Struthio camelus: one gene and its partner. The main gene of each other region encodes a partner of the protein of the gene in region 2 in a complex. Links are inferred from orthologs where the notes say so. Each region holds a gene or a part of one and is shown on either strand. Other genes may lie near its edges.

Evidence for each region.
Region 1: GATB (region 2) and GATC share a complex: the UniProt entries of both Homo sapiens proteins name them as parts of the heterotrimeric GatCAB amidotransferase (AdT) complex. The link is inferred for Struthio camelus from reciprocal best matches to the Homo sapiens genes GATB and GATC.

Annotation. Positions count from the first base shown.
Region 1 is NC_090958.1:7,928,263-7,936,260, reverse strand, and holds the start of GATC (glutamyl-tRNA(Gln) amidotransferase subunit C, mitochondrial), read right to left. Parts: upstream 3,077-7,998; coding exon 2,981-3,076; intron 1,079-2,980; coding exon 912-1,078; intron 107-911; coding exon 3-106; intron 1-2. Other genes in the region: TRIAP1 (TP53-regulated inhibitor of apoptosis 1), read left to right, coding at 3,188-3,334, 3,625-3,708; COX6A1 (cytochrome c oxidase subunit 6A1, mitochondrial), read right to left, coding at 7,233-7,319, 7,913-7,998. UniProt on the Homo sapiens protein: Allows the formation of correctly charged Gln-tRNA(Gln) through the transamidation of misacylated Glu-tRNA(Gln) in the mitochondria. The reaction takes place in the presence of glutamine and ATP through an activated gamma-phospho-Glu-tRNA(Gln).
Region 2 is NC_090945.1:38,014,194-38,021,268, reverse strand, and holds the start of GATB (glutamyl-tRNA(Gln) amidotransferase subunit B, mitochondrial), read left to right. Parts: upstream 1-4,045; 5' UTR 4,046-4,104; coding exon 4,105-4,232; intron 4,233-6,890; coding exon 6,891-7,041; intron 7,042-7,075. UniProt on the Homo sapiens protein: Allows the formation of correctly charged Gln-tRNA(Gln) through the transamidation of misacylated Glu-tRNA(Gln) in the mitochondria. The reaction takes place in the presence of glutamine and ATP through an activated gamma-phospho-Glu-tRNA(Gln).

The DNA.
Region 1 (7,998 bases), on a different chromosome or scaffold from region 2:
ACCTGGTGGGGCTACAAAATATTCCTCTATTTTTTCTCTGGCATTTTTCAGCAGCTCCTTTGTGCAGTTGCCTTCTGTAACATCATCTTCTCTGAGATACAGACACCTGAAGAACAAAGAGTAGTAGCCTGTCTTTAAACTACAAAGTACAAAGGCTAGCACAGAAGTTGCGTGCAAGCACCATGGATCTGTTTTTTTTTTCACATCTCCATTATCTTTTAATGTTTCTGTTCAATAAGCTGTTGACATGTTAAGAAGTTCTTCCTTAAAGACGACTGGCAAATGAGTGAACAGTCGCAGCCTTGTTCCTGTCAGAAAAACTTAGTCTGTCAGGCTTTGAATATACCTAAACAATCACTAAACCGACAGTGAAACCTTGAAAACATCCCACGCCTCTTGACTTGGTGGTAGCTTTAGTATGGAGCTGGCCATACAGAGGCAAGTACGTCAGAGGACGTACATGTAGGACTGCATGTTTGCATGTAGGATTACTGGCAGCACAACTTTGTAAAAAGCTGAGCTAAACATGCCCTGTTAGGTTGTTACTAAAGTACAAAGCATTGAGTATCTCTAAAGCTGTTTTCAGTCTCAAGCAAGCAGACCAACAAGTACTAGGACACTTTGAAGCAACTTCAAAAGCTGTTGCCAGACACTGGGGGAACAGCACGTGCAGGTCCTTCAGGATAAATAGCAAGACAGCGCTAAAGGATTGGAGTGCATCTTTGCTGTGCTAACGTGTTAAGCTTGTGGGCACTAATCTGGCCTCTTTCTTCCGCACACCACCGCATTAAAGGCTTTCTGTAAGCAAAGGGGCCAAATGTATAGCTAGGATATTTCTGGAAAAAAGTTTTCAGAGCAAATACTTTGACAAATGAATAGTTCAAAGCAGGCCACTAACAGTGATTCCTCACCTGTCTTCTAGTACTGAATCCATTGGTTGTATTCCCTCTGTGTTTACCTCATGAAGCTGATCAGCAAACTGGATTGCTTTCTGCAGCCGCTCTACGCCCTCTGCGTTGCGGAAATCAACGAGCGCTAGGTGCTCCAAGTGATCCAGCACGGCCACCGTTACTGTTTCCTGTAAGAAAAGACACAGTCCCTTGCTTGGATCCTGGGAATAGGCTGCCACAGACGGATGGAAAAACGGGCAAAGATGAGTCAGTTCCAGATACTGTCGCTAACATCTTTGCTATGGAACAAGCTTTTCTTGTTTAGAAAATAACTGAGTTTACTTCTGTTAGAACATCTTGATTTCTTTTATTCCTTTCCCTTTCTGATGAAGTCACAGATCAGAATGGAAAATTGACTTTAATCAAGCCAGTCCTTCCTCCTTCTCCCCGTCACTGTCTGTGTAGCAGAGGACAAGCGGAAGAACTGGCACTTGTAAAGCTAATTCGGAGAGCCGTGGGGGAGAGCTGGCGAGGGGGCTCCAGGCCTGCGTGCTGCAGCTGGTTCTCCTCTCCACAAGCCCAGAGCCTCGTCGCACAGGGCTCGCCTCCCGACTGCGACAAAGAGCTGTTCCTGTGGACTTCAGCGCAGCTGTGACACTCCACAGCCACTGAAGATCTACCTGCGTGTGTCGCAGCAACCAGGGAGCTGTCGGCACCCTGCACACACGAGGTAAATGGATCTGTCTGCAGGGTGCCGTGAGTGCGGACACGCCGATTCCAGCTCTGCGAACTGAGGACGGGCTGTCCCGGGTGTCGGGGACAGCGGCTGTCTGGGGATGGCATCAGTGCCGGGTGTCGGGGCCGGGCTGTCCCGGGTGTCGGGGATGGCATCAGTGCCGGGTGTCGGGGCCGGGCTGTCCCAGGGTGTCGGGGACAGCGGCTGTCTGGGGATGGCATCAGTGCCGGGTGTCGGGGCCGGGCTGTCCCGGGGTGTCGGGGACAGCGGCTGTCTGGGGATGGCATCAGTGCCGGGTGCTGGGGCCGGGCTGTCCCGGGTGTCGGGGATGGCATCAGTGCCGGGTGTCAGGGCTGGGCTGTCCCAGGGTGTCGGGGACAGCGGCTGTCTGGGGATGGCATCAGTGATGGGTGCTGGGGCCGGGCTGTCCCGGGTGTCGGGGATGGCATCAGTGCCGGGTGTTGGGGCTGGGCTGTCCCGGGTGTCGGGGACAGCGGCTGTCTGGGGATGGCATCAGTGCCGGGTGCCGGGGCCGGGCTGTCCTGGGTGTCGGGGATGGCATCAGTGCTGGGTGTCGGGGCTGGGCTGTCCCGGGTGTCGGGGACAGCGGCTGTCTGGGGATGGCATCAGTGCCGGGGCCGGGCTGTCCCGGGTGTCGGGGCCGGGCTGTCCCGGGTGTCGGGGACAGCGGCTGTCTGGGGATGGCATCAGTGCCGGGTGCCGGGGCCGGGCTGTCCCGGGTGTCGGGGATGGCATCAGTGCCGGGTGCCGGGGCCGGGCTGTCCTGGGTGTCGGGGATGGCATCAGTGCTGGGTGTCGGGGCTGGGCTGTCCCGGGTGTCGGGGACAGCGGCTGTCTGGGGATGGCATCAGTGCCGGGGCCGGGCTGTCCCGGGTGTCGGGGACAGCGGCTGTCTGGGGATGGCATCAGTGCCGGGTGTCGGGGCCGGGCTGTCCTGGGTGTCGGGGATGGCATCAGTGCCGGGTGTCGGGGCCGGGCTGTCCTGGGTGTCGGGGATGGCATCAGTGCCGGGTGTCGGGGCCGGGCTGTCCTGGGTGTCGGGGATGGCATCAGTGCCGGGTGTCGGGGCCGGGCTGTCCCGGGTGTTGGGGATGGCATCAGTGCCGGGTGTCGGGGCCGGGCTGTCCCAGGGTGTCGGGGACAGCGGCTGTCTGGGGATGGCATCAGTGCCGGGTGCCGGGGCCGGGCTGTCCCGGGTGCCGGGGCCGGGCTGTCCCGGGTGTCGGGGCCGGGCTGTCCCGGGTGCCGGGGCTGTGCCGGGGGACAGCAGCTGTGCCGGTGCCGGGGGCCCCGCCCCGCCCCGCGCGCCCCGGCGCCTCGCGCGCCGCCGTACCTGCGGGAGCCGCCGCCCCTCCCGCGCGCCGCCGCCGTGCGCCGCCCTCGGCCCCGGCCCCGCCCGCAGCAGCCGCAGCGCGCGCAGCGCCCGCATCGCCGCCGCCGGAAGCGCCCGCGCCGCGTCACCCGGCGGCACTTGCGGCGCGCGGGAAGCGCGTCACGACGGCGGCGGGGGGCGGGGGGGTCGCGGGGTGCCGCCGCCATCATGAACAGCGTGGGCGAGGCCTGCACGGAGCTGAAGCGCGAGTACGACCAGTGCTTCAACCGCTGGTTCGCCGAGACCTTCCTCAAGGGCGAGCGCGCCGCCGACCCCTGCGGGCAGCTCTTCCGCCGCTACCAGCTCTGCGTGCAGGTGCGCGCCCGGCCCGGCGCCTCCCTCCCGTCCCCTCCGCAGCCGGTGCCGGCCGTCCCTGTCCTCCTGGCGAGGCTCGTCCGCGCCGGTTAGCGCGGCGCTCGCCGCCCCTTCCTGCGGCGGGCTCGAGGTCGCAGCCCAGCGCTGCTTCCCCGCGCCTCTTCGAGCACCTTTAGTATTACAGCTTTGTCCCGAGCCGTCCCAGCCTACTAATCCTTAGGTCTTGCTTTGTCCCAGACAACACATCATTTAGCGCGGTAAAGGTGCGTGTTTGTTTTTCTTCTCCCCAGAAAGCAATCAAGGAGAAGGACATACCCATTGAAGGCCTGGAATTCATGGGCCCAAGCAAAGGGAAAACGGAGAACTCCTCTTGACTTCAGCTCTTCCCGTGGAGTCACTAACATGAGCCTTTGGACTAAGGAACCTAACCACACAAAAAGACTAGATGCCACCTGGAAAAGGCCTTTGTTAAGCTGCTTTCTCTGTGTAGCCTTTTAGGAAGCAAGTACTCTGCTCTGCTTGTAAAAACACCACCACCACCACCCCGGATCACGTGGTAATTACTGCCCCCTTTTCGATGAATGTTGGTGGTGACTCAGCATCTAACTGTGAAAAGCCTTTTTAACTAACTTCCTATGTGAATGTACTCTGTAATGGGAGAATGCCTGTTAGGATGGGTTGAGTTACTGATCTGTAACCGATTTCTCTTGCTTATTTATATAACACGTCAGAACATTTAAAAAGAGCATGAAGGCGATTGGTTTACTTTGTCTCATCTCTGTGCTGCTGACTTGTGGAGAAAGGGGCTTGGTTGATATCCTGGATGCTGAGGGGCTACCACGTTGCTTTGTATCGATGCCAGAGATGTTATAAAAGCACTTATGCTCCGTGTGCAATATCCTAGCTAAAATAAATATTGATAACCAGGCTATATTTTGTTCTAGTAGATAGCTGTCCAGTAGAATCTGAGTATGACCTCAAAGAGATAGAGATATCTTCAGCAGAGACAGCCTGCTGAAGAGGAGCCTTTGATTGTGGAGGGTACTCCCCAGCCTTTTCCGAGGTACTGAAACAATCTGCAACTTGAATTTTCTTTCCTTTCATGTTGTCTGTCCCTGCAGGAAAACTGCAGCGCAGACCTGGCCGTCGTTCTACACGCTCTCCCACCAAGCCCCGGGTTGGCCATGATCATTGTTACACTTTTGCTCGGGGTAGCTGGAAGCGTGTATTGAATGAGGGCAACATTGGATTGAAGCTTGGCAGCTGATATGGTTAAAGCTCCAGCTGCCTGTCCTGCCTCTTGGGGCCGCCTCACCTGCTCGCAAAGCTGCTCCCGAACCACGTGTAGTTCGCACCTAGTAAAGCAAATTAAAATTGTTACCTCTTTGTCTCAATATGCTGTCTCGTAAACTACAGAAACAGATTAAGTTATTAATTCTGTAGTGGCAGTGACTGTGAAAGGGTGAGATGGCCGGCTAACTCATCAGATATCCCAGCTGAACGTGGTGTAGGTACATTAACTCCTTTGTGTAACACGACAATGACACTGGTTTTTGGTTTTCCTAAAACAGTTGCCTGAAATTGTCTGCCTTTGAATGGCAGTAGAAGGGCTGAGGAGGCTTCTCTCTGGAAAGAATGGAAGGTTCCTGATGACAGGTGTTTCCTTACGTGGTTGTGAAGAAGTCATCAGGAACTAGCCTTTTCTTCTCTCCAAATCCGTTTTCTAATTCCTCTGTCCCGAGACATTCAATGACAGAGCTTCGCTCCTCCTTGCAGGTACTAGGAAAATGAAGGTGTTCGGAAGAGGGGTGAGGGATCCAGACCGGGACCCACCCTGTCTCATCCAGGAGCCCTCAGAGCCTTGTGGCAGGGGAGATCTCCACTGATCCTCATATAGGGACGGGCTAAAGCTGTCCTCTCCTAGAACACCAGTACAGGTGAGGGAGTTAAAAAAAATCATTCTGAGCTGGGAATAAAAGAGAGAAGTCAGCTTTGTAATTCTGTTGGAAAAAAGATGAGCTTCATTCTTAGCTTTTTAAGGACTACCTGAGACATGGTTCAAAGCCTTTACTTTAAAACAAACAAAAAAAAATCACACAAAATAATTCATTTGCAGTTCTCAAACACAGTAGCTGGCTTGTCTGCGCTGCAGGTCCTAAGTAACGATTTCACATGCTTAAAATTAGCTTAGGATTTGTGCTGCATATCAGAAACTGCAGCATAGTGGGGCCTTCGTTCCCTGTGCCTTCAGCGATGGCCTAAACATAGCAGCTGTTGCGTGCTGTCTGCTCTATAGTCTGGTTTCAGCACACTCCCTTCTCAGGTGCGTTAGGCAGGTAGCTCAATAGGCTGTACAGTGATTATATGAAGCACTTAACAGCTTGTTCTGTGACACTTAAAAATTGCTGGGTCACTCAGGTATAAATAAAATTAGCTTTCTCTTATGGGAAATATGCTAGGGGAACATTCTATTCTATTAGAATAATATTCTATTTTATTCTATATTCTATTCTAAATAGCGTTTTGGGGACTGTCAAGTGTGAAACTTTTTTTTAAAGGAGTAACCTATACAACCACTTCACTTTTCCGTAATCATTTTCATACAGGAATAAATGTACTGTTATTTGGGCAGTTAACTTTACAAAAAACTAAGCCCATTAGTGCCTTGTTCTGTGCTTTTAATACAGAAGAATTTTAAAGTCATCCTACTGTAGTGTTCTGTTGAGCTACGTAGATGAAATAAATTATACTGAAACATGGGAAAAGGTGTCCTGCGGTGCCCACTTTAGAGCTTCTTACATTTAGCTCATTTACTCTCCATCACTCCTTTCAGCAGCAGGATGCCAAGTCAGCTGTGGTAGTCTTCCTTGGGGAAAAATTATGATAATAATTACAGCTAAGACATAAGTTCTCTCTGCGTTCTGCCATGCAAAAGAATATGGAAGTTGCAGAGGGAATAGGAAAACAGTTGACTTGTTGAGAGGAAACTCTTCAAAATTAATGCTGTATTGGGACAGGCAGAGAGCTTTAGACTTGGCTACTGACTTTGGAAAATAAAGTTATAGTCTCTCCTTGAAACGTTAAACTTTAACCTGCAGAGCCGAGTTGCTTCTCAGTGACACAGTGCATATTACAAAGATGCAGTGGAGCAAAAAGTGTGTTTTCATTTGCAAAGGCCGTAAGAGAGACTTTTGTACAATTAAACCACAACTATGCTCTTTGTAAAGCTGTGAGTAACTTATGTGCACTGCTTATAGCATACGAGGAAACTCCAGAGCTAGAGATTAATACTGTGAAATTGCACAGAGCTTAATTACACACCTTTGACTGCCGCCGCCTCCTGTCTCAGAACACGCTGGGTGAGAGACAGTTGCCTTGATGACTGTGTTAATAACATTTTTTTTTATTGCTGTAGTTGATTACACAGAATTTGCTTCAGTATACACTGAATTTTAATCTAGAGTGTTAGCCTAAAAACTGTTCATTTTAATGTGAGCTATGTGTTTACAGTGATCAGGTAGACCAGGCATCATGCATTATTTGCTTTCATACTCATGACAAACATATTGATTGCTAACATCAGTATTATCAGGTACAGCAGCAGGTGTAACACTCAGTCATTCAAAGCCCTTTGCTACTGCGCTATTGCTTGTGGGGGAGTGTCACCGTTTTAAGCAGAATAAACTTCTAAGGATTCACAGACTAACAAAAAAAAGTCAGATCCTGAATTCAAGTTAGGAGTTTTTATTTAAAGGACCTCTACGCAAGCACATAACAGAGGTCGCGACACCATTCGACTTGATAGTAGAAGGAATGCAGAGTTTCTTAAACGATGGTTCCCATACAACATTCTGGTCCAAATGCAGAAGGAGCCAAAGTTGTGGCTATGGTCAAGATCTTAGTTTTCGTCTTCATAACCAGTTGGGAGAGCATTAACATGGGGATTGTGGAATAGACTTTTGTTCCCATCACCCCAGGGGAAAGGCTGTTGAAAGAAGAAAGAAAATACGCCATTGGCAGCTAATGGAAGGCTCTACTACAGCACAGGAGATTAACTCTTGCAGCAGGAAATAGACTCAAACATCTCCCAGCTTGAAAGGCTGGTGAAATAAGCAAGCTAACATCTGCTTTCCAGGTTGTACAAAGAGCAAGGTGGAAAACAGTCTCCGTTAGCTGGTGACAGCTGTCTCTAGACAATAAGGTCATTGCCAGGACATCAAAGATCAATACTGTCAGGACCCTTGTTTTGGGAATCTGGGATCATAGGATCAGCTCTATTAGCCTCTGTATTTGTGTAAGGTAACTAAAGCAGCTCTGTGGCTGAAGCGTTTTCAGTGACGCCCCAGCAGGATTACTCTGGGGAAGCAAAAGGCTAGTTCTAGACCTGCAAAGGCGATGGGTACTTCAGCTCAGCTGTGAGACCCTCCGTTGCTGTCTCAGAAACAAAGTTAAAATCATGCCTATGTATGCAGCACCTCACTTTGTAGGTAAGAAAGCCACAGAAGCTGTAGTAACCTCAGATGAAGCTCTGCAGTCACAGGAAATAAGAAGGTCTTTGAACAGAGCACTGGAACATACCTTGGTCCTGATCCGGAGGTGAGCATAAGGAATAAACTCGGGTCTTTCATGCTCGTGCTGTCCTTTTAAGTAGCAGTTCAGCATGC
Region 2 (7,075 bases):
CAAATGCTGCCTTTGCCTTGAGAAAATGGCCTAAAGAGCCCCCCAGTCACAGTAAGCCCAGCAGCTGCTCTGCTCCCAGATCGCCACCCATAAACACAAGGTGGGCACTCTCTCCCAAGCAAGACACTAGGTTCCAGGATCACCAACATGTGAATCAGAGCACAGGTGCAGATACTGACTCATTGCAGCACTCCAGGGCAATTACCAAGGGTGAGACTGAGTCTCCCTGAAAAGGTAAGGCTCAAATACAAAACACACTACTTCTCCTTATGTGAAAAATCAATACAGTACAGCCATAGTATGAGTGGTTTTAGTGGCTGAATCAAAGACTTAGATCCTTTCCTACAACACAACCTTTGAGGAATAGTGAATTCACTTTCCACATTTTTTTTAGTATGTCTGTTTTCCAGTATGTCTGTTACTGTATAACAGCATTTGACTACACATATATATTTATTGTGATATTCTTTTGAGTTGAGTTGAGTTGAGTTTTAACTGAGTCTGAACCTTTTTGGTAAGTCATGAGTAATACTACTTTTATGAAATAAAATAAAATGGCATTACCTATCTGACAACAGAAACCGATTCCATTTTGCACATTAACATACTTCAGTGCAAAAGTCCACAAACCATGAGGCCTTTCATATTACCCAATCTATCATAGAATGAAGGCATGCATACACATGGTCAGCAGATCATGCAAGGCAGCTATATTAGCTCCCTAATTGCTTTCTCCCACGTTCAAGAAAAATATCCTTTTCCTTTCTGCAAAATCAGGGGCTTTTTTTTTTTTTTTTTTAAATATTTGCCATCTCCCATAGCTGGTAGCTAGGTAAGCTGGATCAATAGTCCAGGATGATACAGAAAATCATTGCCCTTATTAGTTGAAAGCTGCAGGAAAAGAGGAATATTATCCTCTTTACACTTGTAGAGGAAAAAAGGCTTTCACAGTACACAGGTGATGAGAGGGGCCTAGAAGTGTGAAAACATCCCTTACCATAGTTTTCTTCCAAACTTAATAATCCTCAATAACTATTATTCCCTGCAGGACAGTAATAATAATTTGCTAGACCACAGATCTACTCTTCCAAAAGCCACGCCCTCCATTTCAAAATCTAACAGAGGTTCCTGCCTGTTCCTTATTTTACACGCTGAAATAAGATACTGCAGGCAGCCTGCAAAATATTTAACAAACACTCTGGTCTGAATACCCCATTCCCTGCTATACCAAAAGGAGATCTCACAGTCCACAAAAGGACTAAGTATGCATGCTAAACATAGCTTGCAAGAAAGCAGAAGTTAGAGCTCAAGCCCTATAAATTGAAATTCAGAGAGATCTTCTTTCAAATAAGTGGGACAGACTGCATGTTTATGGCTTAAATGATACGCTGTTGGGCTTTTGTCCTCTACAAAATTCCAATTTCCTCTCAGGTATTGGTTAAATTCCTATAGTAATAAGAAACTCAGACTCACAGCAAACTGTCCCCTGGGTCTACCCTCTCTAAGAGAGAGTCTACATAGTTAGTACTGAACTACCATTGTGCAAGTCTTTATGCAGTGCTGGAGACATTTTGCTATTCCAAGCCACAGCATGATCTATAAACACACTGGAAAGTGGATGCTGCTGCCTAGGGTACACAAGGAACAAATAAGCAGCCTCTTCTACCTCAAAGTAAGCTGCTGGGAAAGGCAATTATTCCCTGCTTGCCTGTGATTGATCAGCTTCCTGTATATGGATGTGCAAGCTTTCATGTATTACCTACTTGGTCACTGGCACACAGCTGCAAAGCAAAGGGCTTTTTAATGGGATTTTTTTCTGGGAAGGGTATTAAAATAGTGTGGATACAATTTACATTACAAATAATGTCACTTTGCAATCTTCTTCTGTAAGTAAGACAGCACCCATGCAGGTGAAAGTTCCTGGGGAATAGCATGGGGTGTGGAAAGTGGCTTTCAACCCTTCTATGCCTTGTGCTCCATTTTTAAATAATATGCACAAAGGGCAGAAGCCTGTGCAACCAAGGCAGAGTAAGGCTTTAAGTAACATAATTTTAATATTCATAACGTTTTAACTTCTTAAGTGATTATTTATGAAATCTTTTATTACATCAGGATAACAGGCTTAGAAAAAAGTATGATAATCCAAAACTTACCCTTTTTCCTCCAGTGCAAATATTTTAGAGTTATATTCAGAAGCCATCCTCACAGCTGGGCTGATACGATCTGCCAGTCCCTACAAAGTATCAAATAGTAATTAAATCCAGTGTTTATGGATGACAATTGTTAAAGGAATTAATTTGTTGCAGAAATAACAATAATATACTAAAGTTTCAGCCTGAAATGCACTCTTCTTAGCAATACATTGCATGGGCTTAGGGCCCTACCAAGTTCAACTAAGCGTCTATTAAGACAACGTGGTTTTTCTCATACCGAAATTATTACAAAATCATATACCCATTCCATTAGGTTAAAGATTGCTATATAGGCTTTTCACTAGGGTATCTGACAGTCTAAGAGCCCCCTGATAGGAGAAGAAAAGGGACACGCTGATGTTCTTTCATTCTCCCAAAAGCGTCTCAGATTGCCTATGGTCAGTTCTTCTTTAACACAAAGAAATTTTGTCCTGGTCATCCTCTTAGGTACAAGAAGGGGTATTCTGCAAGTAAGGGAATACCATAAACTGCAATCCCTAAATTACATTGTACAAGGGACTGTACATCAGTATCTGCTACACATATCTCTCTACTGGTTCTTCTTATAGAGGAACCTCTCGTTACTTTAAGTCATTTAAAAAATAAATATATGTTAAAAAATTAAAACTACGGAACAAATGTTACAAAACTTTTTCTTAATTGGATAAATCACCTTACACATGATTCTGAACCCCTCAGCATCCCACACTGGAGCCTGGGAAGACAGGAGGGTATAAAGGTTATAAGACAATGCCTATGTGCACCACTGCCCTCTGCTGAAAGAAATCAGTCTTACTCATATGTTTGTGACCGATTAACTTCTATTAGTAGCGGCTGACATGAAGCAAAGACGACATAAGCAACAGCTAAGGGAAATTCCCATTTAAGCTCCATAGGCCTGTGGTTTAGGACAGAAGGATGTTAATTCTATTGTCTGTGCAACGTAGCTGTGTAAACAGCATTTGAGATGTTTGCATATGCCCTGGACAGTGATCTTCATTACCATGTATTTGTACTGCAATAACATCTCCAGGCCCTGCAGAGATTAGACCTCACTGCTCTTATGTACATAGAGTTAAGATCCAACGCTGCACCTGAACAGTACCATCTTAGCAGCAGAAGACAAGACAGACAAAGATAGGTGATTTTAGACCCCCAAGACTGGCAAAACACCATCTATGAAATATAAGTTAGTTTTGGACTAGCACGATACCAACAGAAAAGCCATATGGAGCCCCCTTGGAGAACCTGAGCCCAAAACATTTGAAACAACTTTTAACAGAAACACAAAGAAAAACAACATCTTTCACTCTAGCATCTATGCTAGATGGTAGCTTTCTATGATGACTGTTAATTTTCTAAGGACAGGCACAGAACCTGTAGAAACAAGTATCACAGGCTCCTGAAACCCCTTCAAACTTACAGAGCAGTAGCTTCATACATCACACTGCCATATTCTTCTGTACAAGGGAAAACACCTCTCCTAGAGGTGGCTAAGACAGCAGTATGCCAGAGAGCCAAGCCTATACCTATCCAGCAACAAGGCACCATAACACAGAGCCCTGAGGGCAAGAAAGGCAGGGGTCAAAGTTCACCACAGGCTAAGCAGAGCTGGTCTTCACCCAGCCCCCGGTGAAGGCAAGGAGGTGCGGGCCTACAGCTAAACCCGCGCCTCTAGCCCGAGAAGCAACAAAACATTTCACCCACCCTTCGCCTCGCTAACGGCTGCTATACCACAACCAACGCACGCGCCCGCGGCCGCCGCCATTAGGTGGCGCGAGAAGCCCCGCCCCGCCCCACCAACGGCGGGAGTTGTAGTTTTCTTTTCCGCGCCTCCGCGCCCCGCTCCCGCGCGCCGGACTACATTTCCCAGGGGGCGCTGCGGGAGCGGCTCAGCCGAGAGCGAAGCAAAATGGCGGCGGCCGCAGCGCGAGGGTGCGAGCGGGTCTGGTGCTGGGCGTCGCGACGCGGTGCAGCGGGTGTTGCTGCTCCCGCCGCCGCTCGGGCGAGAGGCAGAGCGGCGCCGGCGGGGCAGAGCGGGTACGGTGCCGGGACAGCGCGGGGGAGGTTTCCACTGGGACGTCTTGCCCTCAGCGCGGAGCTGGGCAGCGGCCGTTTGGGGCCTGCAGGGTCGGTTACTGTGTCACGAGCACGTCGTGGGGCGGGAACGGCCGCGGCCCGTTTTGAATGCCCCCTTCTGAAGAGAACGAGGCTTGGGGGTACCTGGCAGCCTGTTCTCAGCGCACGTTTATCTTCGCCTTCCTCCCCCCCCCCCCCCCCAACTTGGTAAAATGCTAGTAGTGTGTTCGCAGTGTGACTGTGTGCCTTTGGCATGTTTGTCTCTGAGAAGAGTCCTGAACAGCGCAAGCAACTTAAAAACTGTTAGTGTTCATGTGTAAGAAATATAAACAGTGCTTGCACCAAGGACTGTGCAAATGCTCATAAATATTTTTCAGGAGGGCTTCTGGTCTAAGGGAAACTTTCCTATCTAGCAGAGAAATGTGCAACTTTGACAACACTGCCTAGAACTGAGCACTTTATTCCTACTGCAGTTGAAAAGAGTTATGGCCTGTGCCAAGCTTTCATGTTTTCTGTTTGTCAAGATTCAAGTTTCCCTGCACAATTGATCACCCAAGTAAAGTTGTGTAGACACCAGCAGAAGTATGTTTCTTTAGATTGATTCCCTGGAGACACAAATAAAAATAAACCTTGAGCAAACATGGCAAGAAACTCTAGGATTCTCATCAGCTTGCAAGTGAAGTCTGATGCAATTTTTAAAACCAGGATGTGAAGGAGATGCTTTTCTAAGGAATGTAGGAAAAGATGGGAGAAAAATAAGATATTGCAAAAATAAAAAAAATCCTCTTCTAAATTCTAAGATACCTTTATAAGTAACTGAAAATATTTGAAAAAATAACAGGATTTGCAAGCTGAGCATTGCACTAAGCAAAATTAAATACGAATTAATCCAATGTGTTTTATTGTCACTCTTAACTAAGATCAGAAATCAAAATATTAAATAGGTGGTTTAAATATATGCTGCCTTGCTCTAGTGCTAAAAAGAGACACAGCAAACAGAAAGTTGTGCAAGAACTTATGGGTTGATTGCTTTCCTAACTTCTTGAGTGCTTTTATTGTCGATGAAGTGCTATAACACTTACATCATACTTGTTTCAAATTTAGTTTACTATTTGGAGAAGTATGCGTTTTTTTACATTGGTCAGAATTGTTTCAGGCCTATTGCAGAGAAAAAAACACCGAGTTTATGTTTCCTTTTACACTTCAAAGTTTTTTTTTCCTGTCATAAAAGTAGATACTTATTGCTTTTTATAATGAAAACTTATATTCCAAGTTGAAAGATATATTTTTTTTTTGCCTGGTCCACATTTATCTTGTCTAAGAAAGCATCCATATGCTTTGTAGTGAATTGATAAGCAGCTTGTCTTTGCGAAATTAGACCGCAGTCCTGCAAAAACTTGCGTTTGTAGACTACTGTGTTTATGTGAGGTGTCCAACTTATTAATACATATGGTAATACATGGTTTGTTTAATTGAAAGCGCTGGAATCGGGATTGGATCCTTAGGATCCATAGTCTGAAACATAGCTAAAGAGCTTTTGTTTTTTGTTTTAATAAAAAATGTAAAAGCTCATTTAAACATCTGAAATTTACTCCTTTATGATAATATCCTTCTTCCTAAAGGAGCAATGTATATCTGCATCACTAGTTTGGTTTTTGTAGGGATGTCCTTAGCTGTTGGAGGACAGACACAGAACTAAAATCCTGGCAGTGTATTACGTTCACCTTTGGAAGGAACACTATTCGTGATATATTTGTTCAATGCTTCTCCATAGCTCACTTATCTGCTATAGCTATCTGGGTACTTATATTGCTGAAGTATCCTGTCAGAGAAATGTGATTTCATCACTGAAATATTATTTGTGCCACTTCATTTGTACAAGGCCAGATAATTACTTGCAGAAACTGTCAAGCAATTCATACCGTAAAGGTGACCCTTTTCTCTTGTCCATATAAAGGTTATGGATGTGAAAATTGCAATTGCTTTTTCGATGATATGGAGAAGCTTTATTCTCTTCAGTATGTTCAGAGAGCAGTAGCTCTCTAGTTGAAATGATGATTTCTCTATTACCAGATTACTAATGTTTATGCTAATATGCTACTAACGTTGCTCTGGAGAGCCGCCTTTCCCAGCATGCAAGCAACTAGCTGACGAGAATATATAATTTATACCACCTGTCTGTTGGAGATTTATCAAACTGCGTGAGAAGTAATTGGTATTTATGATGATTTTATGATTTCCATGGAGTACCAAGTTGGGGTTCATCAAGTATGCAAGTTGCCTCATTGAGTTCTGTAAGATTCCTCATGTAGGGAAGAGTTAAAAGTTTCAGACCATTATGTTTTATTACAGCATTCTCTCCAGTATATAGCAAAGTCACTTGACCGCATATTTTCCCTCTGTATACATGGTGGATTAGTCTCTGGTCTCCAGTCCTGTAGCGCAACTTTTGCCATTGAACGGTAGATGGATTTACAACCAAATTTGCAATGATTTTTAATAATTACGATTTTTTTGTTGTTGTTAAAAAGGAAGAGGTTTAACTGTTGTATCTTTCAGGTATTTATGGATGTTAACATGTTATTTGTGCTTTAACTGTATTTCCCTTTTCCTTTTCAGTCTTGCTCCCTGGGTACCAGTTGTGGGTCTGGAAATTCATGCGCAAATTAGTTCAAATTCAAAACTCTTTTCTGGTTCCCAAGTCCAGTTTGCAGCACCTCCTAACTCCTTGGTATCTTTCTTTGATGCTTCTTTACCAGGAACCTTACCAGTAAGTTATGTTTCAGTTTAATTTATGTCAGGTT